2 linked regions of the Styela clava genome follow. The protein of the gene in region 2 binds, or shares a complex with, the protein of the main gene of each other region. Links are inferred from orthologs where the notes say so. Each region holds a gene or a part of one and is shown on either strand. Other genes may lie near its edges.

Region 1 (15,597 bases), on a different chromosome or scaffold from region 2:
GTTCATCACACTCTATAAAAATTACAAAAAACGTACATGAATTTCACAGTAGCAAATGCAGAATCCCATGATTCAATACAAGATGCTCCAAACAATATCAAACTCCATACAGTGAAAAGTAGAGTAATTTTCATCGATGTTGCATAGATATGAGAGGATGATTTCTGAATACAAAATATTTTTTATATGTATTTAACTGTATTTTACAATCATTACAATAATACAAATATCGTACGATGACCTATCATTGCCACGCAGTGATTGAAATAACAAAATGACATGAAACATAGAACTTCTAGGACGAAATACAAATGAAGCAAAATGAAAAAGCAACAAAAAAAATATTTTGGATAAAAAAAATTACAAACAACTAAACAAGACACAATTTATATGGATAAATTCATTTTTTTGTATTCAAATTATTAAACATGTCAATCGATTTTACACACTTTGATATTAGATACAAAACACAGTTACCTCAATGGTCTAACAGTTGAAGCGATGCACCTATTGTCGCAGTTTTAGATTCGCCCCATACCCACCACTCCCTCCAAGTTGTAACAAATTGGGTAGACAAACGGAAAGACCTCAGTCTAATTACCGTAAAACTAATATCTCCTTTCTTATCAGTGGCTGCTTATACAAGAACCTATTAGGATGTAAAAAATTTCATAAAAACAAGTCTTACCAAATGAAAATGCATGATGACAGGAGCCAGCAGCTGAACGGGATAAAAAGTTTGATAAGTTGTCAAAGCTAAGAACAGTGTTGATTGGACTGCATTGCCTGAAACAGAACAAAATATCACATAGTTTGAAATTCTGGGATAGGATTGAAGTAAAATTCCATGAGGACACCATAAATATCTAAAATATGACGTTATTATGCTCAATGCAGGCACAATAAGAGTCATGGCGATCTAAATAATGAATATTCAGAAAGGGAACCATATTATTTTATGATTATGCAATGGTGGCATGACCAAGGGCCATATTCGCCACACTATCCGTACCCATGGATTCGTAGAATAATAAATTGATAATGCAAATATGCAATGCTGAACTGAAAGCCTAAGGCCCTTTCAAAATTAGTAGCTTGCTCAGAGTGAGAATGTTGTACACAGAAATAATTACCGGTACCTTTTACAGTGTGATAGAAGAGTTGACAGAGGAATAAATTATTGAAAACCGTTGTTGATTTTGCAATGCAGGAGGCAATCAGGAACGGATTGAACATGTATCTGAAAGTGGAAAAATATAGTAAAAATTGTTTCCAAAACACACATTTTTACTATGCGTTTTTTAACCTTCATCTTGAATGATGAAAGGTAACCTTTGATGCAACCCACTGTAACAAATTCAACGTTCTTTGACCAGTGACCAATATCACTCAGAATTTAGCAAAAACAAAAAGTGTGCGAAATATAGCATAAATCATTGAATTTTTAGCAGTTAAAGCATGGTCCTTTTACTGCTCAATCTATCTCAAGAAGGGTAGAGATTGAGAACACTTGAGGCTACCCTGGTTCCTAGATTGTCCTAGAACCCTCACAAATGGCCGTTATTATTCGAACAGTTCAATAATTCGGCCTAGAATTAATTCAATTCTGAATATTCCAAATGCGTTGAATTTTGTCACAGAAATAAGAAAAATCGGAACTAAAATAAGGAAAATTGGAATAAAATTATGGCCTAACCCCAACCTGGTACACACATTACGAAAGTACCAAAATTTCATTGGAGATGATAAACCGTGCAGAAAAACCATACACTGTGACTTTTTACTTATCAATTTCAAGCGGTAAGTATGTTGATAGGTATTTGCCCGTCTGTATGTCTGTTAGATGCACACGATATCTCACGAAAGCGAGATTGAATCTGCTCCAGATTTTGCATGTGCATTCATTATATGTCGGACCAGAAGCCTATTGATTTTGGATGAATTATGTCATATAATTAGCGAGTTATTAATTAATTAGTGATGGGACACAAGGTGTCACTATGGAGTCATGAATCGAAACCGCAATTTCGATCGATAAGTCTTCGGTCTCCGACCAATATTCTCGTTTAATTCTTGACTAAACCTATTTCAGTAGTCCTTATGAACAGCTAGCGGACTTGAAGGATAGTACCCCGAGGTAAATGTGACATTGAGCTGAAACGAGTCAGCTTTGGAATCCAGAGCTAACATATAATTTGACAGCTCAGCCTAGATCTTTTGACAAAAGAGATTTCGTTTCCAGAAGAAATAATTCTGAATTCAATTCAAACTAAACGCCTAAAGCAGGGATCGGCAAACTGTGGACCGAGGGCCAAATGCCACCCTCAAGCAAATTTTTTGTGGCCCCCGAACAACCTCATTTTCAATGCATGGAACCGATAATTGCTCGTAAATTTATTATCTGCGGATGTTTGCTGTAACAATGGCTGTTTTACGGCATTTATTTTGTAGAAGTAGAGGAAGCACATGTCAGTTTACTAGCAAACGTGCTTACCGCCAGTTGTAATTAACACAGAAACAGCAGTTGCAGGCGCGTCACAATTGTAAGTTTATGGGATGAAATTAATGTAACCGCATGCTACCGCCAATGGGCATAATTGGCCCAGTAGTACATGAAGTTTGCAGACCACTGGTCTAAAGTATTCAACTTACAACATGCAGATTAGATCAGGAATCCACTCTGCTCTGTTTTCTTTGATCATTATTCTGTCGGAATCTTTCGCAAATTTGGATTTGTTTTTCTGCTGTTCTGATATCTGAAAATTGCAGGAATGGGAAATATAGAATCAATCCACATATCATTCTAAAACAGGGGTGGGCAATGTTTTTGAACAATGAGCCAAAAACTGTGCCTACCTACCTAGACTGGCGGGCCATGTAAGTGTGACTTAAAGTTACATTTTATGACTAAAATTTTATTTACAGTGTTACCATACCGAAAGTCGAAAACAATATACTTCATGCCAAAACTAAATTTAATTACAATCTCAACAAATTCAGATTTCAATAACAACATCTACGTAGTGCATGTAGATTTGGTTGAAAGAAGAAATTTATCAGGCAAGCCAGATTGAATCGCACAACGAGCCGGATTTTCCCCACGGACCGCAGTTTTCCCGTATCAGTCCTAAAATCTTGATGTGCAGCTCTGTGGTAAAAATGAAGCTTCGGAGCTGTAGCCATTATGATTTCTAACCAGTTGGATAGTTTGAAAATGCCACAACGACTTCAACACTTACACTCCTAAACACTAACATTGGACGTAAACCACTCACCTCATTCTCCGAGTAGAGTTTGGTGAAAGAAAATAGACTCAAAGCAGCCACAACATCAGCAAGCTAAAAATAAGAAAAATATGTTATCAATATGTTATCGTCCTTTCAAGGAATATTTACAGATAGAAGATATATCATAATTGCAAGTAAAAACTAATGCAATAATAAGAACTATATGGAAGAGCACTGGCTCACTATATATGCCAATAAAAAATGAATGACAGTAGACTTGAAGTGTTTAGGATAGGATTTACATATTTATCCTGAGGGATTAGAAAGCAGATAAGACGGCTTAATCATATAGAGAACCATGGCATCTCGTCAAGTTACCAGTCTATGTCGGGTATGGGATTTGTTAGCCAGTTATTAGTTTCAGATGCATGAATTTGATGGTGGAGGATGTCGTAACCGACCAGCAATTGCACATAATTATAATAAATGAGACATGACCGAGATTAGACTAGTCAATTGGAAAGGCGTCAATGCAAAATGGATCAATTTTCAAATTAGAAATGAAGTGTCTAGAAAAATTCGAAATAACAAAATAATTCTGAAGTGGTACAATCCTAGCAATAGAATACAATGTCACACAAACTAAAACTTACTACAAATATGATTGGAAACAACAGTGGAGAAAATTTCTTCAAATTTAGAAACAAGTGGAGCATCAATGGTGTCTGAAAATAAAATGAATTTATTCATTAGTGTTATTGTAATGAAACTCGATAAACTTGTCCGCCATCCGGTTTATCCCCTTATTGCCAGATATGGTCACCCAGAGTGGCCCATTTGGAATAAACATTCGTGGCACCCAACTCAACGATTGAGTTGGACTTCTTACCAATTTAACGCTCCGAGGACTTCGTTCCTGAAGCCATTAATCATTCACTTTACCAGATAAAGCAGTAACAAAGACACAATGCCATGGTAATTACCAAGCCTTGAAGCTTTCGTTAATGCATTTAAAATAAGGCCCGCCCCCATCAGATGGCATGCCAGACATAATATTAAACCTATTCGTGGAATTGCCAATTACTTGGTATATAAATCGATGGTTCTTAAACTCTTTAATCCTAGAGTCTCGCGCCCCACCTCAAAGATAATAAACTAACAATAAGCTACAAATAACAGATAGTATGGCGAAAGTATTTTTTTTTCAAAAAACATATCGAAAATACAAGGATGGATCGTAAAAATCCAAATACGACAAGCAAGATCAAATCTGACGAATATTTTCATTTTTAATCAGCTTCACTTGCCCTCAAAAAATTATCTACCTTCCCCCCCCCCCCTGTGTGAGCACAAGCTTTGATTTACGGTATCAATAATATTGCACAATTAATACTGCTACTCACATCATGGAAAGAGTCCCCGTCATACAAAGATATGTTGTATTGATGAAGTGCCATTCCTTCTTTCACTGAAACAAAAGTCAATACTTAGGATACGAATCAGATATTCAACCCATGAGAAAGAGAAAACTGATAAACCAGCTTCATCATATGGAGAACTAATGCCTTCCATGGGTATAATTTACCATTTTGTTTGAATCAAATTCTTTAGTCATTCCTAGTCAAAGCACAAAAAGAATTTAAAATGAAAATAGAAACAAAACTGAACATAGAGCCATAGAGGAAAGTCAGTTTCATTCGAATATTTGAATTATACATCAGCACTGCCATGAAAGGAACCAGCTTTTCAAAATTTCTAAATCAGGACAAAACAGTGAACGTTAAAATTTAAAAAATAGATTTTTTCTAAATATTGCAAAGGATAAGTGTTCTGTGAGCTGGTATAGTGATACCTATACATATTCTTGAGACATTTGAGACATATTCGCCAAACTTCAGGTTCAAATTGGTACTCCCATTGTGTTTATACCGGGTTAGAATTAGGGCATCATTTCATTCTGATTTCCCTTATTTTAGTTCTATTACGAGTTTGGGGACTGTCTGTGTTAGCGAAGTGAATATACCCCCTGCCCATAGGTTTCAGTCCCTTTACACAACTTTATGTAAAGTAGGCAAACAAAATTAACTACCTCCATATTGGTACACACATTTTTGAAGCGCCAAAAATCGCCATTCAAACCCTGGATGAGGTGATTTTCAAGCAATATTGATTTCTGAACAACTTTAACAATAATCCACTCACATCTAGTCCATGATGATTGGGGAGTTGAAACTTCGGGCCTGTCAATCAACCATTTTTCTATGCTCGAAGATGCAAAGAGACACGCCCTAACTGCCACGCCCATAAGAATGCTGCTTTCTTTCGATAACCTGAATGAATAATACGATATTAATTTTTAAAAATTGACTGCGTATCTTCATCCTTGTATAACAGTTGGTAAAAAATTAAACGAGTCATCGCAGAATACTAGGTACTCCACGATGGTGAGTCCAGCAATTCCCTGACAAACCTATCCACAAATTCGAAACTGCAATGACAGGGCCATGACATTGGGGGAAATTTACACCAGATTACAAGCTCGCAGATTCGACTCCTTGTTGACAAAAAGACATAAATTTAGCTCCAACAAACCAGAAAACTAATAATTTTTACCTACAAAAACTTGAGGTGTGCGGAGGCCTTTTTTTGGTCTTTGAAGAATGATTAGTCTACCTAATGCTTTTTGGTTCATCGGAAATCTCACCATGAATTTCAAAATTTCTATTCGGGCTCTGACTCGCAACTGCGGAAGTTCGAAAATATAAGTCGAAAAGTCGACTCAAATGAAACATGCAATAACGTACACCCAGCACTGCTGCAGAGGAGGGTAGCCAGGAATGGGGGTTTGTGAAAATTCTAATTGCCAAGATAGACTGTGTACGATAATAGCTGGGTGGTTATTTCAAAAGGAGTGTTTCCTCCCTGGATAGACCCTTGCCCTGGAGGTCTTTGAGAATCTAAAAAGTGTTTCAAGCTCTGAAAAATTGGTATGTATGAGACAGAAAAATGCATTTTTTTACATTTTAAAAATTGCGTTCAGACCCCCATCTCCCATCCTGGAAATTGGGGTCTGGTATAGTTTAGTACCACATGCACTTCTAGTTGGCCTGGCTCAGCAATTTTTGCATATGTCCATCCGGTGACCGTACATTTGAACCCATGTACATTTGAACCCATGCGTATATCCACGGGTTCAATCTATATGCGGGTGCTAAAACCCATGGGTTAGGGTTAGTATGGGTTTAACTATCCGTGAAACAAAAAAAATTCCATAGGTGCAACAGCATACAGGTGCAATTGTCATGGGTTCAAATGTACGTGGGTTCAAATGTAATGGAACCGTCCATCCTAACCCCCACCTGACTACGTCACCGAAAAATTACGTTTTTTCAACGTTACAGTGGCGTAATAAGGCGCACCAAAGAATGCGGATGCGATCACCCGAAATCGAGCAAGCTATTTCTCTCGTTTTCTCGTCACAACGATCACGATAGGAGAGATCGCCGGCTTCAGCGAGTTCGTTATCGGCGACACAGATATCATTTTGGGCGATCGTAATTATACTTCTGCAAACCATATGACGTGATGGTGACGTCGTAGTGACGTAATTTATGGATGGCATAGTCAGGTGGGGATTAGGAATAACATATGCAAAAATCGTTATGCTACGCCCACTGAAAGTACTTGTGGTACTAAACTATACTAGACCCGGAAATTGCCCCTGCTGATGAAACCCCATACAGAGGGAGTCAGAATCATGATTTGAACGGTGTTGCTGACACTCAACAATGCTAGAACTTGTAAATATAAATATTACTTACATTTTGATCGGTTGACAGCTTTGGGAAACAAAGTTTGTGATATATAAAGTTTATCTAAGGTATTTTCAAGTTGGCCTAACTGGAATTAGCTGAAAAAAATACAAATTCTCATTAATTTTTGATTACTTTGCATAAGCATTATGAATTGCATTTTAAATTATTATTAACAGTTGGATTTTCACATGTAAGATTAAAAAAAAAAAATTACTTTAAAGATGTAAAAGTGAGTGAAGATTAAATATAAAGGTCTTCCTGCTCAGAACATATTCAGAAAAATGTCTTAAATAATTATAGATTGAGGATGAATTTTGTAATAATGTACATGCTTTGATTTTCTACAGTTATCAAAAGAGCCAGTTACACGATTTTCTATATTATTTCGTACAAAGTGCATTCTCAGGATGGTAGAAAAGGTAACTACTGATTAGTATGATTACTGATTTGAGTTTGCTTATCAGCTGTCCAAATGACAATTTAAATGAAAATATTTTTAACTTATTCCAGATTAAAATGGATAATGTAATGAACATTTCACGTTCTGCCAAGCTTCCCAATTATCTTTAAGTGCTTTGCCAGCCTAACGGATTCAATATATTCACAATGAAGTCACTGAGATACAGAGAATATCATTTAAACCCTGCATTCAACATCAGGTTATGAGTGTTGTGTAGGCTACATATTTGGACCAGTCAAACTCCAATGATTTGGCCCGTCTAGTTAGAAAACAAAATTATTACAACCAGTCACACTTCAATGATTTAGCATGCATAGTCAGAAACCAAAATATTCTGACCAGTCACACTTCAATGATTTTCAATAAAGATATGTTAAAATGCAATTTTAAAGATTTGCAAATATTTTCGACTCGTGGATTACTAAATTGGGAACAGTTTGAAGTTCATGTATAGAGGTGACTCCAAGTAGCTTCATCGTCAATTCAAATTCATCTCTCAATATTTCTAGAACTTTTTTGACTCCATGCACCCCACCACAAGCAAGCCCCCAAATCACAGGACGTCCTATAAACACTGCTTTCGCTCCGAGTGCAATAGCTTTCGCTACCTCTCCTCCATTCCTAATCCCACAGTCGAAATATACTTCACATTTATTGTTTACGATTTTCACAATATTAGGAAGGATATTTATTGAAGCAGAGACTCCATCTAATTGCCTGCCTCCATGATTTGACACAATGATTCCATCCACGCCATGTTCTATTGCCTCTAGTGCCATTTCTGTGCTTATTATTCCTTTGAGTATGATTGGTAGATTTGAAATTGATTTTAACCAATCATAATCCTTCCAGCTGAGAGTAGAATCATATAAATTATTAGCAAATTCCGCCATTCCAGATTCTTTAATGCCACTAACTTTGTAATTTTCTCCAGATGCTTCAATTTCAAAATTTTTTAGGGATAAATTTGATGGCAGAGAAAATTTATTTCTAACATCAGCATATCTAAGGCCGAGTACAGACAAATCAACAGTCAAAACAAGAGCTGAAAAACCATTATTTTTTGCTCTTTCAACCAATCGTTTCGTCACCGTTCTATCTTTGAAAACGTAAAGTTGAAACCATTTCAAACCGTTTGGAACTTCAGAGACTAACTCTTCTATACTGGTAGTAGACATCGAGCTTAAAGTAAATAATGTTTCGAGTTTTCCCGCTGCCTCTGCAGAGTCAATTTCTCCTCTTGTTGAAGCCATTTTTTGAAGTGAAGTCGGTGCAATACAAATAGGAAAATTTATGGTCTTTCCTAACACCGAAGTAGACAAGTCTACGTTTGAAACATCTCTTAAAACTCGGGGTTGAAATCGCCAAGATTTGAATGCTTCACAATTTTCATGTAACGTTTGTTCATTTGTCCCCCCAGAATTATAGAACCCAACTGCATTTTGTGTAAGATGCTTTTTTGCTTGAACTTGGAAATCTTTAATGCTAATTAAAGAATCCATAATACTGTTGAAGAGGAATTTACAAATCAATTTGATAAAATGATTCGAGCATGACAAAAACTTGCTGACGTTGCTGTATCAAAAAACTCAAGCATGCAAAAGACGGAATCAAAATATCAAACAAGATACTGTCCACTGGCATTGGATTCAGAATTACACAAATCATATAAAATTGCAATACTGGTGAATATATGGTTCTAAATGCCATTTGAATACCCCTTTTTCTATTGGGCTGGAGATTATGGGCCTCGTCTATATTGGACTGCCATATACATATACACAGAAATTTGAGAGTAGGAATGGATATATCCAGTGGTGGGATTCAGCCGGTTCGCACCGGTTCTATAGAACCGTCTCGCGGAATTTTATGAGATCAGCAAACCGGTTAGCATTACTAAAAAAATATATCACAGAACCGGCCGAAAAATATGACTTCTGTGATGGAACAGACCACTGGATATTATGGTCCCAATTGGCCCGTTTCATGGTGGTATATTGGACAATATGAACAGGTTAGAAATAGGGGAAGGACATATTATTCCACTCATCATTTAAAAAGCCACTTCCATAGAGAGGGACTAGTACCAGACTATAATAGACAGCAAGTTGGAAAGAGAAATGAATACCCGGTTTCATTCCAATCAATAACCAAATAGCTAACCTCTTTTGATGACTATTTGGCTAGATATGGACTGCAGGTTTGGAATAGGAACTAATATATAGGATTTCTATTTGAATGGCCCTTTTGTAAAGGAATGTTGTGCTGCTATGTAGATGGCAAGTGCAGTAGATTTACATGGTGCCAATCACCATTTGAATGACCTCGCCCATATTGATTTATTGAAAAAGCAGAACCAGTCACATACACAGGCTACTGATTATATTTACAATACCATGCCATGATATTGTTCCGCTTAGTCAAGGTTAAAAGGTCATTCAAAGGTTCCACTGCAAAAGGACGAATGTTAAAATAAATAAAATTCCCAGACATGTACATCCATTTGTTATAATCCAAGCATAGCCTCCCTGTTGATAATACAAATCTTCCGGCTTGACAGATAACTATTACTTTACTGCTAAATATATACAATGAAAATAAATTAATACGGGAACAAACATAATAAAAATATGGCTGGTAGTAGGTACTACAGCGAGTAAAAATATAAATAAAAATCAATTTTCACAAGTTTCACTTTCAATTGCATACTCTCAGCAATATTATCCATAGAAAATTTTTGGCAGTCGACATTATTAACAGGTAAACGAGAATATCGGTCAGAGACCGAAGAATTATCGATAATACTTAAATTCAAATTTGACCCAAATATCCAAGAGTTTCTGCTGTTCGACAGAGAATCTATTATTTTCAGTAATTGTGGTGACATCATGAGCCCTGAGGGCCAGACCAATGAGAGATGGTGCAAACTTTTTAGATTCTTGAGTTGTTGAAAACTTTTTTCAACGTCTTCATATCTGTCCCCATACTTTCTGCCAGACATATAACAACACTAAAACATTTTAATTGCTGAAATATATAACAAAAACAAATTAATGTGCAACAAACATAATCAAACCATGGCCAGTGGGTATTACAATTAATAAAAAATACAAAGAATAATTAATTTTTGAACTATATGAATATCAATTGTATACAAATAGCAAAATCATGGCATAGAAAATATTTGGTAAATTAAGTAAGCAAATAAAATGGTTAGAAAATAACAGCTATATTCTATAAAATATGGAAGGAATGTCTTATAACAGTGGTTCCCAAGGTTGATTGATTGGGGCCAAAATTAAAAGCATACGGTTACTTGCGGGCCAGGAGAGTGCCCACAAAGGACAGATACCGTATAATAAGGATATTATAATTGAACAAACACATACTTAAACTGTAATAATGAATTCACACTTGGTGGCATCTGGAACACAATAAGGAAAAATTGAATGCTAGACTATTCAATTTAAGTTCGGTGGGTCATCTTAAAACGTCAGGCAAGCCACGATTTGGGTACCACTGTCTTTTATTCAATAATTATAAAACAATCGCATTGACAGCCATATTTTCTTTCTCTATTCTATTCTGTTCCTATAAACTTCCTATAATTTAATATAGTTTTGACTCAAACCTAACAAAAACACAGTTAATATATAATATGAATCATCATTTGTTAGAGCATAATGCCCAGCCATCATATATTACAAGGGTTCCCAAGCTTTTTTCATGACGACACCAAAGACAACTTTCAAGTGTCCAGTGCGACCCCATGTCAATATATATATTTTTCATGAAACTTTAGAGCTTCTTTCACTGGACTTTTGAGTATGGTCATGTGGCAGTATTAAGTAAAATAAGCTAAAACCAAACAGTGATTTCACAATAAGCACGTATATTTTCTATAGCTAAGCATAGAGCGACGCTTATGGGCCTGTTTTACAGTAAGCCATGGTACAAACTGCTGAATTCAACATGGTTTGTCAAATCTTAGATAATTTGTACATCCATCCTCTACCATACTTCAGCGACCCCATGACCTGTTTGCGACCCTACCGACTTATCACTCCGACCCAATTTGGGGTCGCGACCCCTGGTTTGGGAACCCCTGATATATAATATAGTTTCAGCAGCTCATGGCATTCAATTGATTTCCCAAAACTTTTTTTCCTTTCTCCATAGCAACTCCTTGAGTAAGTGCATGTGATTTCAACAAATTGATTTGAGGGAAAATGAAAGAAAACATTCAAATTGGAATTAAATTCGTCATTATTCATAATAAGTTTATATTAAAAAAGACACCAAAAATACAATAAGTGCATATTTGCTTTTTGTATAAAGCAAAAATAGGTATTATTAAAAGCTCGGCTAACCTATTCAAATTTTTTGATAAGAGACACCAGAAACCTAAAATATAAAACTAAAAAGAAAACATAGGCTACATAGCAATCACTAATGCAGTTGTTTTCAAAAAGGGCACCTCAGGGCACAGTCCAGAGGTTCCGCAGGTTTCCATTTAAATCCGTGAGTCTGTACTATTATATGTATATTGATAAAATATATTCAAATACACTGGTATGATCAAATCAGCTTGTTTTATTAGTATCTCGTGAATAAGTGAGACCTTCAGGTGTTCTATGTCAAATTGTTGTTCTACATTTTAATTGGAATATTTTATGATAAGAAATGTAATTTATAATAAAATACACACTTTGCAAATTGCATAAACACTCCCCGAGTCTCTAGAACTTTTGGATAGGGTTGACAACCGCTGCACGAAGCCAAAAAAATTGAGGAAAAGAGTTTCCAAGGAAATGTTGAAATTTGAATCTTTATATTTTTTTTTCAAAAATTCAAATTGAAAAAAATCTTGTTTACACTGAGTGAAACTATGAAAGTATTGAACTAACAGGAGACATCAATGTACCAATTAAAATTTCTACAGTGCTATAGTTGGTTATAAGATGGATTTTGGGATCCCAATAATATATGAACAGTCACATTCACTAATAAAAGTGCTTTGTTTATGGGTCACATTCATCTTTATCAATGCATTCACCATTATTTGACTAAATTTTAGAAATTTCCAGCATTATCGAGCAAAAAATGCAAATAGAACAATTATTGATACTGGTGGGGGGGAGGTCTGACTTTCTTGCTCACAATTGGGAGTCTTCGCTCACATTCTGCATTGTCGGCTCACTGACTTCAACATCCGAAGTATCCAAATTTTGTCGTTGTGCCATTATTTCCATAGGAACAAACTCTTGGTCTGAACTTTCATTCCTCTTCTGCAAGGCTTTTATGAAAATCTGAACCAACCAAAGTGTTCGAACGAATGAAGTGAAACGTCTTTTCAAATCATCAGAGAATTCGTGCACAGGCCTAACCGGGTCTTCTTTGTTTTGAAGATACTCATCAGTCAATTGCCTTATTTTTAGTATTATATCCTCATCACTGGTATTAGAATGATTCTGTTTCCAAGCCAACAGTGTTTGAAATGCAAATTCATGGAACGAACCTTTATTATCCTCAGCAATAATTGCAACTTTATTTTGATTCAGTGACAATCCATTTCCCGATCTTGCGAATTTTTTAAATTCTTTTGGTGGAATTTTTTCAATAACTTCATGAAAAACATCTTCAACCCTCTCACCAAAAGAAACTGTGTCCCGCTGTGACTGATGATATTTAGTAACAAGATCTTTTAGACTTTCTGGAGTTGCAATATTCCCGTTTCTTTCCTTCCAAAGCGCAAGTAGTTTGAGTTTCTGCTGATCGACAGAGAATTCATTATTTTCAGTTACTGTATTGATATCATGAGCCTTGAGAACCAGACCATCGCAAGATCGTGCAAATTTTCTAAATTCTTCAGTTGTTGGAAACTTTGTCACAATTTCCATGAATACATCTTCAAATCTTCCGCCCATATTTTTACTATATTTAATGTGAATAGAAATTAGGTAAGCTACATTACAAGAGTGAAAAGATTTTGCTATTCAACACCATTTTGTCGCAAAAAAACGTACTTCAATGGTTGTTTTGCACATTCTATGTGTACCGTACCGTACTTTGGCGTACAATTTTCATTTTTACTTTGAGCACCAGCGACCTTGTTTTGAACAAATATTAGAATATGCGTAAAAATGGAATATATATTCAATATTTCTTAGGTAAAGTAGATTTAATAAAGATTGATTAATTAAATATCGCAAAATTACTGAAGCAATTGTACATTTTTTGTTACCCATCTCTACATCGTACTGTCTTTTTTACTGTCCAATGTACTTTTTTTGATTAATCCTTTTTTTGTGCCAAATAAAGTCCAATGACAAACAGAATTTTCGTATTGATATTTTTAGAATCGAATCATTAATTTTGAATACAAAAGTTCATCATACCATTACCACAATGACACTAATTCTACCCAACCGGTCGCTCTGGGACCATTTTACATGGATTATTTTTTGTCAACCATTCGGCCCTAAAGCTTCACTCGTGGCTTTTTAATAGCGTGTGCTAGAGTTCTATTCAGCAATATACTCCTTATAAAAATATTTTTTCTATACGCCAAAATTTCCATTGAACTTGCGAGATTTTGTGTCCAGTAGAGGATTAATAATTATTCCTAGTTAAAAAATTTTATTTCAACGTTTTCTTGTGTTATTTTCCAACAAAACAACACAAAGACCACTATTATAGCAAGAATGATTACTCCAAAATTCACGGTTGTATTTACAGCATTTTCGAGTTCAAGGGTCCAATTGACAATTTTGATGACGTCACACCTCTAATTATTACTTCACAGGCCCCCATCAATGCAAAAAAAATGACTTTTTCCGACGGAAATGCGCGTAGATAGACATAAACATTCTAATGCCCGTCGTTACGTGTAAAAATGACCAATAATTTTACGTTTTTTTCACGTTCAACTCCCTAGTTGCTTCGATCGTGTTCTCGTAAATAATAATATTCGAAATAGCAGAAGTCACGAAAATTTTTTTGTTACGTATGTGAGAAAATCAATAGCACAAGAATCGATCACATGCTTTGGTCCTAAATTGTGGAATCCACTGCCTAACAGTATTAAAAGCTCAAAAACGACATCCGAATTTAGATCAAAACTTGAAAGACATTTATTGGAATTATATTAGCTTTCGTGCAGTAAGGACATTCTACTCTCCAGGCATTATTTTTCAGATACAAAGGGCCTTTTGATGATTGGTGAAAAAAAGTTGAGAAAAGACTGGCAGATGAAAAATTTCTCCGTTTGACTAACGATGTCATCGTGGATGCAACCGACTCCCATTGCTCAGGTCTCGGGCAACCCACTGATCTATTGTCTCTAGTTCCTGCATATTTTTATGGTTTATTAGCTTTGTACAGTTACTTCCTTGGATCGCTGCTAATGAAAAGATCATCTTATACCGATACAAATTCAAATTTATCAACTCAGGTGTGAACAAAAAATTTCTACATATGTTGCTTATTGTTTACCTTCTTATAACCCAATCTTTTTGTGTCGTGGTCCCAACCAACGTTGGTTTTTGGCAAATTCCCGTCTCAGAACAAATTTTTATTTGTTTCGTACAATCTATTCGTTACAATCTCTATGTAAAACACACAAAAATGCGATTTATACCTTATTCCCATCCCTTCACATCAGACAGTCAGAACCTGAGACATGAACGTGCCATAAACTGCCTATTGTACATATCATCGTCGTGCCGTACCTCTTTGTCCTGTGTATTGTACAAGAGTTTTATTTGTATATTTCATGTCTGTTGTCCTACTATAACGCAGAAGTCCTAAACTGCAGTTATACTTGTTGGGCTGCATGTCGCACATCTGTGTCTTAGACCAGTACAGTCTTAAACATGTACCGGTACCGGTATCCCGTCTCTTTCTGACTTTCTACGATCAAATCTAATACCGGTAGCGAACCATTTTTGCGAAATCTGTTTGCAGCGCATAAAATCCAATATGTTAATGCAAACGAACAGTTTCAAATAAATGAAAATATATATGGACATAGCGTATTTCAAATAAATATAAATCTTTCAAATAAATAAGTACACAGTAATGTACAAACAAGAAA
Region 2 (15,777 bases):
ACAATCAAATCTATCCAATTAAAGAGTCCAGCTGCACACTAACACAAATGTATTTCTGTAACGTTTCGTCCGACCAGAGTCAGTCGTTTGTTGTAAACTGCTTGTCTGAGGAAGAGTCCGACCAGAGTCAGACTTCCTCAGACAAGCAGTTTGTTGTAAACTGCTTGTCTGAGGAAGTCTGACTCTGGTCGAACGAAACGTTACAGTAATACATTTGTGTTAGTGTGCAGCTGGACTCTTTAATTGGATAGAATAGTCATGTTTATTCCAGCTGCAGTATCTTTGCAGTATACGCATACGGATCAACTAGCATAAAGGCATAGAGAAAAGATAGGAAGTTAGTCTCGCGCAACTCAACTCAAATTTAACAATCAAAACTGATAACTACGAAAATTAGGCAAGGTTAGCAACCATGATCGAAAAGAGTGTTTTACGGCTTATTAAAATTTAATTGTTCTTAATCTATAACTTTTTATTTGTTGTTATAAAAGTTGATGATAAAGACAGTCGATGCACGGAGGACACCTTCCAAATTATTTTTGTTTCGCCACAAGAGGGCAATATAGTCATTTTGTATCCTAGCAACGCTAAGCGGAGGTGTTGTTGAGAATCTGAGGCTGTTTTTTTATTTATTTTTTACCTTGATTGCATTTCGTAATTTGCCAGAAAACAATGAAATGACTGGGAAGTTGGTTTAGCTTTAAGAATAAAAATCGTCAGTTTGCCAGTGCCATGGCAAAGTTTCTTCGTTTACTAGGAAAGGAGAAAGAACTGGTGAAAGACAAATATAAAAGCCATGAAGATGCCGAAGCAAATAGAATATTCGAATATAATAATGCTGTCGTAATTCAAAGCTGGTATCGAGGATTACGTGTGAGACATTATTTGCGACACTTGCAAAAATGTTCAATCGTTATTCAAAGAAATTGGCGTGGCTTCATGGGCCGCCGTTTCTATCGAATCTTGGTCCGCAATTCAGTCATGGTTATGAGAATGAATTTCTATAACTGCATGGCCACAAGAATTCAGAAAATTTGGCGTGGTTTTTATGTTCGAGAACATGTTCATAACTTCTATGCTAGGAAACGATATCTAGAGGCCCTGGCTATAAAGAATCAAATTGTTCGCAATGAATTGGATGAATATCATGAACAACTAGAAACCGATCGCAAGAAGCGCAAACATGAAGAGTTAGAAAAAAAACTACATTATCAAGCTCGCAAGCATCATTATTTATTGAGCACTCATCAAAAACCTGGTATATACAACTCTCCTTTCTGGCCCTATCCTCATGAAATGGAATTCAGATTAAGGGCGGCACAGCCACTTGACCACAAGCAGAAAACGAAACAAGCTCAATATAAAACAAGTGTTTCTTTAGACATGATTGATCCTACAGATACTACTCTCAAGCCACATCCTCCAACAAAAACTTTACCGCCAATTAGGAAAGAAAAGATTCAAGGACCCTTTAAGGATCCAGTAATTGTGTATAGGCAAAGATATAGGCCTCTAAATCCTTCGTTACGTGTTTCAACTGATTTTACATCATTACATGAAGGAAGGGAACTCATGAAAGAGGAAGAATGGAGAGACAGAGTTATCGATGTTCCTTTTCTACCATTCAGCACTAAAGAAAAACCTTATGAACCTCTTTTACATACTTCTTCCAAATTTGGTCATCTCCCATATGGCGTTAAATACTTTCGGGAAACAAACTATAATAGGAATGTCTCTACAAAAAGAATGCAAACTGTAGTTTCCCCAATTCCTGTCTTTGACAAGTTTGAACAAACATATTCTAAAGGTGCTGTAGTTCTGCAATAATGTTTCTTAACATCATCATTGTACTGTAATATTCATCTATACAGAAGTGCTAATTTTACTGATCAAAAGGGATTTCTGGATTTGGGTGCTTCGATCACTATAGCTAAATTGGATACATTAAATAATGATTACTTAAGCTATGGTTATCAGTTTTTTTTTAATCTTAGTGTACAATTCACTCACTTACACCTTTTCTGCGATTTCGTAAGAAATTACCAATTTGAAGTGATGTAGAATGTTCATTCTAATCGTATATAAAAATATATCTTTGACACTTCCCAAACAGAATATATGGATGCTTGTAAAAGAGTGATTTTTTTCAATAAGCATTTGCTTGAAAATTTTTGTTGTTCCTTGTAACAGCACTGTTATATTTTATTAGAACCGTGATCAGTTATGTACATTTTTGACATATCCATGTAGAATGAAATAACTGTGAAATAATGACTTCCAAAGAAAACAAGTTTCTAGTTGTTTGGCATCTACTACTAACATGCAGCAATCTCACTTTTATCACTAACCATTGATTTATGTAATACATTTAAATTATTACCCACATTTATCCATGTAGAACTAGTATTGTACTATGATAATTTGGCTAAGTATATAATTTGGCTTGTATATACCACCCATGCTTTCTGTAATGCCACATTTCTGTATGTCTGATATAATTTTTCGATGAATGTTTTTTGAATATTTTTAGGTAATATTTCCCACATTACAATAAGTAGAAATGAGTAAACCTGAAAAAAGCGGAAGCTTACACCACTTGGTCGAGGCTACTTACTTAGCTCACAAAAAAGATATTAGGGATTATGCTTCTGGTCACTTAAATCCGGATAAATTAGTAAAACTGCCCGTTAAGGATGACTTTGCTTCACATGTGCCATGGAAAAGCTCTCGAATGGTTGATGAGAAAAATGAAAATCCTTTTGCTAGAATTGCAGAGACTCGAAAAAACGCAGATCATATGTTAGTTAATAAAGTGGAATGGATGAAAAATGCACTGTTGGATTTCAGTGTAGGTACAGTGGGAACATTGCCTGAAACAAAAGGCACAAAAAAGAAAAAGATTAAGCGCAAAAAATCAAGACAATTTCCACTACGGGGCACAAAGGCTGAAAACAAGCTCGAGTCATTGGTTTTGTCAGAAATTGCCAAGCTAATGTCGGAGCCAGATGGACCATTTGCGCTAGAACAATCAACTCCAAAGCCAGATCAGAGCACTGCCAAAGAAGAGCCAAAAACACCCGGCAGAATTCCAAGAAAGAAGTATGTCGTGCCATATGGATCCAAGTATTCGAGCACTTTGACAGAAGAGATTAAATTGCCTGAATTAATGTTGCCTGCAGTTGACGAAGCTGTGAGAGTACCTCCTTCATTAAAAGATCCACACCCTTCCATCAAACAGCAAATACATGAAATAACCGATAAAAAATTTGTCACAACACATTTTGCAGGAATTACCAGAAAAGATCGGTTTAATAAAATTCTGGATTTTGACAGAAATGTTTTACATCGATATGAGACAATGGAAAAGAATGTAAGAGATGGACACAGAGCAGCGGACCATTTGGAACAAAAACTCATTAGAAAACTACTGGAGTTAAACGACCCAAGTAAACAAGTTAATTCACTTAATTTTGAACGATTGCAAGCTTATGGTGAAGTATGGCATGATTTATGCTTGGATTCATCAATTTTTGGTCCCATTTTATCAGAAACTAAGGATGAATATGACAGATATCTATCAGACCTTCTTGATGAAATGAAAGCAACAAATCATACCGAACTTTTGTCCTGCTTAAATGCTGCCGACGGAATGACAGGAACCAATGAAGAAGATGTTGAAACACTGCAAAATACTGTGGAAGATTTAGAAGAACAAGGTAGGCAAGGTCTTTTAAAAAATGCTGAATTACACAAAGAAATTGAGAGAGAACGTGCACTTATTGAAGAAAGAAAAAGACAACAGGAATTAGAGGAAGAAGAGAACAGGAGAAGATTATTACCCAGTAAAACTTCAAGTAAAAAAACTGTCACTATGCAAAGTACAAGACAAGCATCAGCAAAGAGAGAGAAAAACACCGAAAAAAGGTTACAAGATCTCCGTGCAGATATTTGGGAAAGGTTAGACAGTATATCTGAAAAACAACATGAACTGAAGTCAGAGTTTGTGCCAAAAACTTTGCATAGAAATCTACAACATGCCGTACAAGATACAGAAAATGAAATGCAAAAACTGATGCAACAAAACGAATATTTAACAAAAAACATGAGAATACAACAAGAGTCACTAGAAGCTGATTTAGCAAAATTCGACTCCCTTGGCAAAGAAAACATTAACGAGGTTTTATTAGAATTAGGTGTTTCATAATTTAAGTTTTGTGTTTATTTTAGTTTCCATTTAAAAACCGGTAATAATGATTGAGTCATTTAGTTGAAATAAAATTAAGGTATAAGATAATGGGACTGTTCAAATTTTAATCAAAATTCGTAACTCAGAGATATCATTGAAACTTTGTCATTAAATTACCGCCTGCTTTTTCAGTTTTTTTTTTTAGAAGATAAAATAAAAATAGCACCCTGCAGCATAGTAAATTGCTTTTTTTTCGACTTTCATAAACTCAAACAAAAACATAAATTATATGCACTGCCAAACGAGAATGGAATTTTTCACCTTTTTATATAATTCTTTCTATGCCAATGTACAACCGATTAGTTGAACTTGAATAACTATACACGTCTATTCTATCAGAATGTTTGAAAATAACATACAACTGGACTATCGATGTGTGTCATACAGTGTATTTATTTATCTCAGTTCAATTCATTGCATAAGGAGTAGAAAAAATAATGTTGATCGATAAACCAGTATTTTACACATCATTTCATTTGAATATAAAACAATGTCCTGTGAGAATTGTGGCTTCAAAAGACAACACATTAAAAGTACCTGATTCAAATTAGTATGCCATTTCAAACAGTTATAAATAATATACATCTCCTATCACCGCTACTTATATAGTTTCTAAATTTTGTAATTTTACCAATAACAATATAGAAATTGTTAATACATCATGCTCATTACTTTTCCATATGACATCATAAAGAAACTACTACTACATTTCGCAGGGGTTTACATAAGTTTTAGTCAAGGCCACCTCCATAACTTCAAATTTTTATGCCACGCTTCAGCACAAAAGTGATCACCATGTCACTCTGTTTTTTGCTTCTCCTCATCACCTTTTTTCATTCTCAACCATTTGATAGCAGCAATGAATGAGCCTAGCAATGGCAGACTGATGGGTAGGAATAAAGGAATATAAATTGCAAATTTTTGATCTTCTGGAAAATACAGCAGCTCAAGCAATGTTGGATCAAAAAATGCTGTTTCTGATGCTTTGAAGGCAATATTGGATATATTTAACGCCCTTTGATCATCTGATTCATCTAGTGAAGCTTTTGCTTTCTTTATTGCATCAACAGCAGTGTAAATATGACCTGCTATTTCATCATTGATAACAATGTTGTGAATTTTCCCTAGGAGTTCTGAGAGTGTATGAATAGCATGTACCGACGTAGCAATATTTTCAAAAGTTCTTTTTCGCACCAAATAACTCAATTCCAAATCACTTATGCCAGCAATTCCCCTGTCTGCAACAGTTATTTCAAAGTCATCATTGGGCGTTTTAGTCATCTCAAGACCAAGTAAAGATCTTAGTTGTGCCACGAACACTTGCATGATTTCAACACTGTCTAGTTCAACAACATGAGGAAAGATAGTATCGTTGCTTTTTGGTGCATTTTTGATCATGATGGAGCCCCATCTCGGAACAAGAAATGTGTTGGTAGTTGAATAACTCTCGTCAGCATGTTGAATATAAAGAGGATTGTAGTTATCTGAAGGAGAGCATGAGGTTTATTAAAAATAAATCAAAGAAATAAAATGGGGTTTTAAAGATCGCAATCACCCCTATGCTGTCACATTAGAAAGAATTTCTATGAATTTGAATCACTGCTAAGTGTCATTTATCTCGTCTTTAATAATAACATCAACAAACCAATCTATATTCTTAATTGTTTTTATTTGAAAAAATATCAACTCGGTATAAGACGATTGAAAATTTTCACAATTGTAATCTCACTGCATTTGTAACAATACAACAAATCATGAATCAAAATTTTTTTTTTGTAGATGCTACGTTTATATTTTTAGATAGGACTAAAAATTAAAATGCCAAGTAGATAGATTTCCTAAGTATGTAGCAGGTCTATGACATCCAACTTCAGTCTGACCAAAAAAATCTTATTCAAAAACTTTATTTAATTAATAATTATACAATACATAATTCTCTCTTTTCAATATTTTTTCAGCAGTTCATGCATAATCTAGTTATAATTTGGCAAAAAATCATAGTGTAGGTTTAGTATCATCAGTTTAATAAGAATCATGCCACTGTAAATCAACCCCAAATTATTTATCTCGACTTACCTTCTGACATGTAAACAACAAAATTCAAAGTTGGGTTTGGAGATATTTGAGCACCAAGCCTTGATTCGATTGGATTCACAACATGAGATAGCTGTTCATGCGTTAGATAAAATTGCTTGATATTATCAAGAGTTTTGGACTTTGGCTTCACAGACAATCCAGAATAGTAGAGAATCTAAATTGTAAAATTTAGGCATACGGTGCAAGTATTTGGACTATTTGAAGTATGGGTTGCCGTCAGAACATATTGCTTTGATCAACGGAGTTCACTAAATGGAGATCTAGTTTAGGGGTTCTCAACCAGGGGTAAAAATTTCAAGCAAAAAAGTACCTAAATTTCCTAATTACTTCTATGAAAATGCAGATTTATTTAACACTTTCGTCTGTGTCTGATTGTACCTAAAAGTTTTAGTAATAACGAATAAATGTCTAATTTCACACTTTATGTACTGCAGATTAAAATTTAGATTCTAGAGTTACTGAAAAAATTATCAAGAAAATTATTCAACAAAGTTATGTTACTTGAGAACCAATGTGAAATTCTGCAAAGTTTCCCAACTTCTTAATCATAGGTTTAAGATACATGTCAACTGCTTCTTCCATATTCCAAGTTGCTTGCAGTTTATCTGGTTCTGGACATAACAATGAAAAAACAATGTCATATCCTTTGTCTGGTTGTACAGTCTTCCTCATGTGAAACTCTCTGTCCTGAAGGCGAAATAGAGAACAAATAAAACAAAATTCTAAATACACCAAATTTTCCCCAATGCCCTTCAAATAAATTCATCAAGATGCCTAATTAAACGATATTATTAACCCGGCCATGTCGCGAGCTTAAGTTCATTGTCCTTTTTTATTAATTTTTCAATAAAAAGTTCAAGAAAGTGGTTGGTAGGGAGGTAGGTGTCTATTGTTGGATTGGATTGATCAATCTTACAATACTCCTTAATTTTTACAAAACTAGTTAGGATATTGAAGATAATGGATGCTGTCATCATTGCAAAGTCTGAAAGTGGTACCGGTAAACCACCCTCTTTTTGACACCCTCAAAAACCTGAAAACTCAAGAAACCAGAGCTCATCAGAAACTTTTCAATAGAGCTGAATCTATTCATATCCATTTTCAGCAAGACTTATCAACCTATTTCTGTATTTATCCTTATTCCTGTATCCATTGAAATAGGATGAGGAAGATAGGTATCTGCGATTATTGTAAATACTGAAATAAAGACAGTACTGCAGTACGCTACATATTAATGTTCTAAAGATCAAATTCTCACCTTTGAAAATTGAATGTTTGCACCAAATGCTTTTCCCACTGCATCATTGAGAGCTTCAGCATTTACAATGTTTTCATTAATTATTTTCATCAATCCTTTTGAAATTTCCAGGCTTTTATATTCAATGAGAAGTATTCGGTTCCCTTGAAATGTTACCTTGGCATTTTCAGCATCACTTGAAATTTCGAATACCAGGGTTATGTCGTTTTTATATATTGAACTAATTTCAATTGCATTATTTTGGTGTTTAATATTTTGAATATCTTTTTGTGTGAGCACAACTGTGTCAAATTCATAACTAATTTGAACAAATTCGAGACCAAACGACCCTTCAAAGTTATTCTTGATGTCTTCGTTTAGCTGCTCGGAAATAGATGCGATTGTTACAATAATTTTGGTGGAGATTTTTGAGTTTGTTACCAGATCGCTTATTTCCGAGTAAGGAATATCTGCCCGATAGACTTCTGTTGTCTTCCACCAAATAGGAATTCCAAAACAGAGAAAGACAAATCCCATGCATAAAGCTGCCTGCATTTGAGACCGCCTGTCATTTAGACTCTCCATATTAATGTCAGAATGTAGTGTCGTTCTGGTGCGGGAGAATCTCGAACGTTCAGACGGTCGCGCGTTCCCGATATACGACAGAACTACTACAATTATCAATTCGTTTTTGAAGGAATCCCCACGCGGGATATCATTTTTCGAATCTCGATACGACGATCTGTTTTTATTTTTACATTATCAATATTATTGTAGAAAAAGAAAGTTGACAAAAAAATTACATAAACTTTCAGCGACAGAATAATAGCTCGGAATTCCCGAGTATATTTTATACTCATGGACATGGTGTTTATATTCGATTTTAGACGTGTGTGATGTAACAGCATATATGACAGTGGTTCTTAAAGCATGGGTCACGACCCAAACATGGGTCGCGGAAGGTTTAAAAATGGGTCGCGAGTCGCGACAAGGTCGTTAATGCAAGGGCAATCAAAGAGGAGACGGACGAATTTTCAGATTTCCCAATGTTTCAATTCCAATAATGGAATATAAAATTTCATTCACGGAAAGAACTGTCTTGAGCTCATTGTTACATCACAATTCTGATATGCCAGTCACGTGTATTATTTTTATGGTATCGGTAACCATGCAACGTTGTGTTGACCGCGTGGAATGTCGTCTTAGTGGATTAAAATAACCAAAAATGGGTGTCGTTTTGGTATTGTAAATTGTAATAGACGACGCAATGAAAAAGCTCGCTTCTCGACATTAGATTATTCAATATCTAGAAAAAATGTGACTTCATCTCGAGGCACCATTTACCGCGAACGAAGCGGTGTGTGCACATTTGATGAGTAAAAAGTTGTATATTGCGAGAGATACCGAAGGCCAGCTAGGATGTCGTGTTTGCGACGGACAGCGGACGCCTCTGTTGCTACTATAGGGCAACAAAGATTCGACCCTATCAGCGTGTCCACACTCCCGTGTTATTGAACACACGTTAACAGAGTGTAACTCCGATCTTGACTCTTTCAGAGGTCAATAAGCACACAATGTATTGAATGCCAAATGTTATATTGTAAAGTTGCACAATCGAATTGATCCAAATAACGAATTACACTTGAAACCTTGAAGCAAGTATATGTGATGAAACCAAATTTCTAACTAACAAAGAACGGCAAAGACAAGCTACACTGAGTGAGAGAAATATATCATAAAGGAAATGAATTGGGACAACGACCTTGTTTCAGGCAAATAACATGCACTACTAACAATAAGTGGTGAAAATATTGAAATACACAGTAACTATCCTTATGTACTTGCTACACTACAATTCGCGACAAGGCACTTGTGCGAGCGAGGATATTTGGCACTGACGGTTATCAAAACTAAGCTCGCAATCGCCTCGATACCCGTGACAACTTGCGTGTTGCGTTATGTAAAATAGAGCTGTGTATTGAAGATATAATGAAAAGGAAATTTCAGTTTCATCAATCTCACTGAGTCAATGGACTGTTTCTAATAAATAGTTGTCTGTATTTGAGTCAAACTGTACTAACATTAAAAACACATTTTGCGTTATTTAGGATTGGGTCGCGAGTATTCATAAAACTCAGATTTGGGTCGCGCTCGAAAAAGTTTAAGAACCACTGATATATGATGATAATGCTGACTCTCTTCAGATTCAGATTATTTATTTTTGTCGTGCATCTGTCGCGGACAATAGCGTCTGCGTTTATATTGTGTGTATATAAATTTTCATGTTTCGTGTTTTTAGTTCTTTGGTGATGTTTTGTTTGACTGTTATATTGGAATTGCCGTACTGATTCATTCACAACCACAGTAGCAACATCTCCCGAAACTGTGACAATGGCGAGGATGGTGACACGTCAGGATTACATCTTTCCAAAAAAAAACTGACACATGAAACATTGTAAACACTAACAATACTAAATCAAGGCAAAAAAAAGACACACAATTTTTTCAAGTCATCGTGTCAGCATAGATTTTACATAAGAATGTACATGCAATAATACCGTTATGCATTGTCTCTGGTGTCAGCGACACCATAACTTATGGTCCATAAGTGCCGAGTTCAGCAGCAGATGACGTCAAATAATTTAGCTGGATTCAAATAAGTAAAGAGGAAATTTGAGAAACGTAAATCGAATCGAGAGAGTAAGTCGATAGAAAAATGATTAAATGGGAAAGAAATATCCATCGTGTCAAAATTTCTGAAAAAATATATAGAATCAATCGCTAAACCCCATGCCACTATGCCATATTCAATATGGGATTGGAACAAAAGGTAGTATTACATACGTAAAGTGGTTAGAGATGTAAAATGTCGAAGAATATATAGTATCCCACTTCATTTTGTTATCTATATATACCAGTTTTCAAGGATCATACCATCAATTCTAATGGACAGTTGCTTTTATATGGAGATAGTAGCATTGTTTTTGATTCGTCAGTGTTTATTGTTAATTTGTTGGCCCTCATCCAATTTGCTACTTTTGAAATTTCAATGTTCACCCTTAATTGGAGACCGGAATGAGATTTGTCTGTCAAGGAGATTGGTGTCATCGGCAAATATTTTGAAAAATAGCGAAGAACAATGGGTTATGTCATTAATTAAAACTAAAAATAGCAACAGGCCCAAACAGCTGCCCTGAGGAACTCCGTGTGTTATTGGTAAGGGAAGTGAACAATATGTTCCTACTTGGACATGCTGGGATCTGCCACCTAAATAGCTAGAAATGAGTTAATTTGCTATATTCCTTTATAGCGTAATGTCTCAACTTGAAAACAGAATGTTATGATTTACGGTATCGATGGCCTTCTTTAGGTCTAGAAAAGTTGCACTAATGAACTCTTTTTTTTCTAGGGGGCAGAAATGTTTGAATGTGAGTTTCGGGTATACGATGATGCATAATTTCGAAGTGTTCAGATGTTAAATACATCAGCGCAGCATGTTTTTTAGGTTGCTTCTGTAGTAAACACTCAAATATGTCAAGAATAGATTTGCGAAACAGGAGTCAAAGTTTTTCTTGTTCGGAGTCGGACTCCGAATTCAAATTTTGGATCAGGGCCACAGGGATATATAAATATAGAGTGCGCTTCTCTCTCATTTCCGTGGGACCATTTGAAGGCTCTCTCGTTTTGTCGATAGACTTCCAACTTTTACAGGCGCGTAATGCATTTCTTGTGGGATTTGGCACAAATCAACCATTTGCGTCAATTTTTCTTGCATATTCTCCAGATCTTGATTAGTTTAGAGGGTCTGGCTAACACAAACAGTAGGCTACCCGAACTCGTAATAGAACTAAAATAAGGAAAATCGGAATAAAATTATGGCCTAACCCCAACCTGGTACGCACACTACAATAATACCGACTAAAGTGCGCTTCGCCCTCAACCGAAGACTTAGGTGAAATGTTTTCCGTGGAGGTTATTGCGTTTTTATGATATCAGGCAAAAACAATTTAGGCCGCGAGTCGAGGCCATTTATCTTTCAGTTTCGTAGCGCACATAAGGTAACTACCTGAAAATGATTTTAAAATGTTCCTTAGAAATTTAGTAACCAATATTGCCTTGTTCCCCCTTCCAAAAGTTGCACGTTTTACAGAAAAGACGCTTTTCGCTATATATTGAAATGATTCTTCCCGTCATGATGGCACATCGTCATATTCTATGACAAATGGTATAATACTGGGATTTGTTAGCAAATTGATAATATTCACGGGGGATATATTCGGTTCTTTGCAATGCTTAATAAAAATGATCTTGAGACATCATAGCAGAAACAAAATATATACCATGATATGTTTGACGGTTTCGTTTTCCGAGCAAATGTCGCAAATACCTTGTCGTGGCAGCCAATTTAGTGCAGATGATAGCCTGTTTGTAGCCTGAACAAGATTATTTCATCATATCTTTGAGATAATTTGAAGCTAATGTGATCTTTAATAGATGGAAAGGATAATTGGAAATGTTGAGCTCTTTCTAGTGTGATATAGTAAATATCCATGTCGCAATTTGCTTCGTTTTTCGAAAGTTTGATCCACGCAAAATCTACGAAACTATTTTGCCTCCTGGGAGAAGATAGAATAGTTTTAATTGTAAAAATTAGTATATGGCCAAGAGAAAAAATCTTTTCATCGCTGTCAAAGCCCAGACAATTGCAACGGTACGACTTAACCGGAATACCGGTAGGTGCTCGCCACTAATACAGTCTAGTAATACTGTAATAATTAGTTCAGAAGATCCAATGCGCTGCAAAGACACACAAATAGGTTCGAAGTTCACGATGCAAACGAAGAGACTTTATTAAAATAGTGTAAAATTCACGCTTAAAGCAGATAAAATAAAAGCGACAAAATACAGTCCTCACCCAGCGACAGCATAAGCAAGAAGAACGAACGCTGCGAACTGCAGCCAGTTCACATATGCAGTGGTGGTTGGAGTCGAGTAACTGAAACCAACTGTCGGGCGAATTGGGGCTCAGACTCCACACACCAATGCATATGCAATAACCAGACAAGAAATATAAATAAAATGATAAACAATAAAAAATAGTACAACTCCAGTCCCGCCACAGCCTCAAGTAAAATTAAAACATGTCACGGTCGAAGCAAAACTATCCAAAGCAATGTCCTACACGCAGCAAATGTTTATTTGTGAAACATCGTGCTTCTAAATACAAAATGAAGAACCACATCTCGTATCCGTCGTTGATCCATTCGTATAAATTAATAAGTACTGCTTGTTATTCTCGGAAATATATTCACCACATGCTTGTTTACCTATAGGTAAGAGATTTGTTTTTGATATCATTTTAGCAAGCGATAAAATCAATTGGAAATTTCATTTCCCACGGTGGTGACTGAAGAGCTGGTACACAATTAAAACATCCGGTGTTGTTAGCATGTTACAGGTTTTAAAAATGGGTGATTTTGGATAAAGCTCGCGCCATGTTTGTTCTATTATGTTGGTGTGCGGATATGGCGTATTCAATAATATTTTTTTCTTATACTTCATGCAAGCCTGTTGGTGACGAAATTTCAGCGGAATCTCTTTACAGGTATCATTTAGGCAGCAGGTTTTTCTAATTACATGCTTCGGTGAAAAATAATATGCCTCTGTTCCGTATTCAATTATTCAACGTACTAGAACTCTGTATAAATTAAAGCAAGATTTTTCTAGAAGCTCCCCATGTAGTGCCCGTAAAAAGTCTCAACAAATTTAATCTTTTATCAGATTTGTGTGTTACATGTTCCACATGAGCTTTGTATGTCAACTTATTGTCGAATATAACGCCAAGATATTTGTATTCAATTTAACTGGTATTCCTGTCCATCAATGCAGAGATGTATTGGTGGAGACTTACGTGATCTCGAAAATAATACAGCACACGTCATCGAGATGGTAAATCTCCACTTAGGACACCACTAACTGATTTGATTTGGTGTCGTTTGCAAGTCCGATATAAGTTCGTTGATTTTTGAACTAATGTCACAATCATCAGCGAATGTTCTGGGTATCGAAAAATTATTATTTCGAAGATCGTTTATCATAATTGTAAATAGCAATGAACTTATCACGTTTCTTTGAACAATACCATTTTCCATTTAGGAATTGTTAGAATACGTAGATCCAACACGTACCTGGAATAACCAGTTTGATAAAAAGGGCTTTATCCAAGATAAGACTCGACCCTTTATACCAGGCCTGGGCAAGTTGCGACCCGCGGGCCACATCCAGCCCGCTGCAACTTTTTATTCGGCCCTCGAGCATGCTGAATTTAGACACTTTCTTTTTTATTTACATATAAAAATTTACTTCAACTGCGAACAAACGGAATTTTTACGAAAGTCGGTAATAACGTTTGACTATTTTTTTTTTAAATTGCTGATTGTTTTTGTCAGTTCGAGGTGACTCCTCAAATCACAAATTTTCAAGGATCATACCATCAATTCTAATGGACAGTTGCTTTTATATGGAGATAGTAGCATTGTTTTTGATTCGTCAGTGTTTATTGTTAATTTGTTGGCCCTCATCCAATTTGCTACTTTTGAAATTTCAATTGTCACCCTTAATTGGAGACCGGAATGAGATTTGTCTGTCAAGGAGATTGGTGTCATCGGCAAATATTTTGGAAAATAGCGAAGAACAATGGGTTATGTCATTAATTAAAACTAAAAATAGCAACAGGCCCAAACAGCTGCCCTGAGGAACTCCGTGTGTTATTGGTAAGGGAAGTGAACAATATGTTCCTACTTGGACATGCTGGGATCTGCCACCTAAATAGCTAGAAATGAGTTAATTTGCTATATTCCTTTATAGCGTAATGTCTCAACTTGAAAACAGAATGTTATGATTTACGGTATCGATGGCCTACTTTAGGTCTAGAAAAGTTGCACTAATGAACTCTTTTTTTTCTAGGGGGCAGAAATGTTTGAATGTGAGTTTCGGGTACACGATGATGCATAATTTCGAAGTGTTCAGATGTTAAATACATCAGCGCAGCATGTTTTTTAGGTTGCTTCTGTAGTAAACACTCAAATATGTCAAGAATAGATTTGCGAAACAGGAGTCAAAGTTTTTCTTGTTCGGAGTCGGACTCCGAATTCAAATTTTGGATCAGGGCCACAGGGATATATAAATATAGAGTGCGCTTCTCTCTCATTTCCGTGGGACCATTTGAAGGCTCTCTCGTTTTGTCGATAGACTTCCAACTTTTACAGGCGCGTAATGCATTTCTTGTGGGATTTGGCACAAATCAACCATTTGCGTCAATTTTTCTTGCATATTCTCCAGATCTTGATTAGTTTAGAGGGTCTGGCTAACACAAACAGTAGGCTACCCGAACTCGTAATAGAACTAAAATAAGGAAAATCGGAATAAAATTATGGCCTAACCCCAACCTGGTACGCACACTACAATAATACCGACTAAAGTGCGCTTCGCCCTCAACCGAAGACTTAGGTGAAATGTTTTCCGTGGAGGTTATTGCGTTTTTATGATATCAGGCTAAAACAATTTAGGCCGCGAGTCGAGGCCATTTATCTTTCAGTTTCGTAGCGCACATAAGGTAACTACCTGAAAATGATTTTAAAATGTTCCTTAGAAATTTAGTAACCAATATTGCCTTGTTCCCCCTTCCAAAAGTTGCACGTTTTACAGAAAAGACGCTTTTCGCTATATATTGAAATGATTCTTCCCGTCATGATGGCACATCGTCATATTCTATGACAAATGGTATAATACTGGGATTTGTTAGCAAATTGATAATATTCACGGGGGATATATTCGGTTCTTTGCAATGCTTAATAAAAATGATCTTGAGACATCATAGCAGAAACAAAATATATACCATGATATGTTTGACGGTTTCGTTTTCCGAGCAAATGTCGCAAATACCCTGTCGTGGCAGCCAATTTAGTGCAGATGATAGCCTGTTTGTAGCCTGAACAAGATTATTTCATCATATCTTTGAGATAATTTGAAGCTAATGTGATCTTTAATAGATGGAAAGGATAATTGGAAATGTTGAGCTCTTTCTAGTGGGATATAGTAAATATCCATGTCGCAATTTGCTTCGTTTTTCGAAAGTTTGATCCACGCAAAATCTACGAAACTATTTTGCCTCCTGGGAGAAGATAGAATAGTTTTA

The links.
Region 1: the proteins of GPI-anchor transamidase component PIGS-like (region 2) and GPI-anchor transamidase component PIGU-like are in contact, whole or in part, in a cryo-EM structure (PDB 8IMX), measured with the Homo sapiens proteins. The link is inferred for Styela clava from reciprocal best matches to the Homo sapiens genes PIGS and PIGU. Residues at the interface, in NP_149975.1 of Homo sapiens: Ala4, Gly5, Ala8, Thr9, Glu12, Arg15, Arg18, Ala19, Phe22, Phe23, Val26, Leu30, Leu34, Trp35, Thr38, Thr39, Leu510, Leu511, Phe513, Ile521, Tyr522, Leu525, Phe526; in NP_536724.1 of Homo sapiens: Gln118, Phe282, Glu283, His284, Phe285, Leu287, Phe288, Phe289, Cys291, Val292, Phe293, Ile295, Phe299, Tyr300, Ile302, Pro303, Ile306, Lys307, Lys309, Glu310, Thr417, His418.

Annotation. Positions count from the first base shown.
Region 1 is NC_135263.1:4,000,559-4,016,155, reverse strand, and holds the start of GPI-anchor transamidase component PIGU-like, read right to left. Parts: upstream 7,163-15,597; 5' UTR 7,051-7,162; coding exon 7,049-7,050; intron 5,558-7,048; coding exon 5,430-5,557; intron 4,696-5,429; coding exon 4,631-4,695; intron 3,953-4,630; coding exon 3,881-3,952; intron 3,339-3,880; coding exon 3,276-3,338; intron 2,757-3,275; coding exon 2,653-2,756; intron 1,241-2,652; coding exon 1,140-1,240; intron 787-1,139; coding exon 689-786; intron 165-688; coding exon 37-164; intron 1-36. UniProt on the Homo sapiens protein: Component of the glycosylphosphatidylinositol-anchor (GPI-anchor) transamidase (GPI-T) complex that catalyzes the formation of the linkage between a proprotein and a GPI-anchor and participates in GPI anchored protein biosynthesis.
Region 2 is NC_135261.1:15,375,253-15,391,029, reverse strand, and holds GPI-anchor transamidase component PIGS-like, read right to left. Parts: upstream 8,290-15,777; 5' UTR 8,166-8,289; coding exon 7,602-8,165; intron 7,031-7,601; coding exon 6,845-7,030; intron 6,498-6,844; coding exon 6,323-6,497; intron 5,731-6,322; coding exon 5,045-5,730; 3' UTR 4,614-5,044; downstream 1-4,613. Other genes in the region: spermatogenesis-associated protein 17-like, read left to right, coding at 733-1,827; uncharacterized protein C6orf118-like, read left to right, coding at 2,561-4,204. UniProt on the Homo sapiens protein: Component of the glycosylphosphatidylinositol-anchor (GPI-anchor) transamidase (GPI-T) complex that catalyzes the formation of the linkage between a proprotein and a GPI-anchor and participates in GPI anchored protein biosynthesis.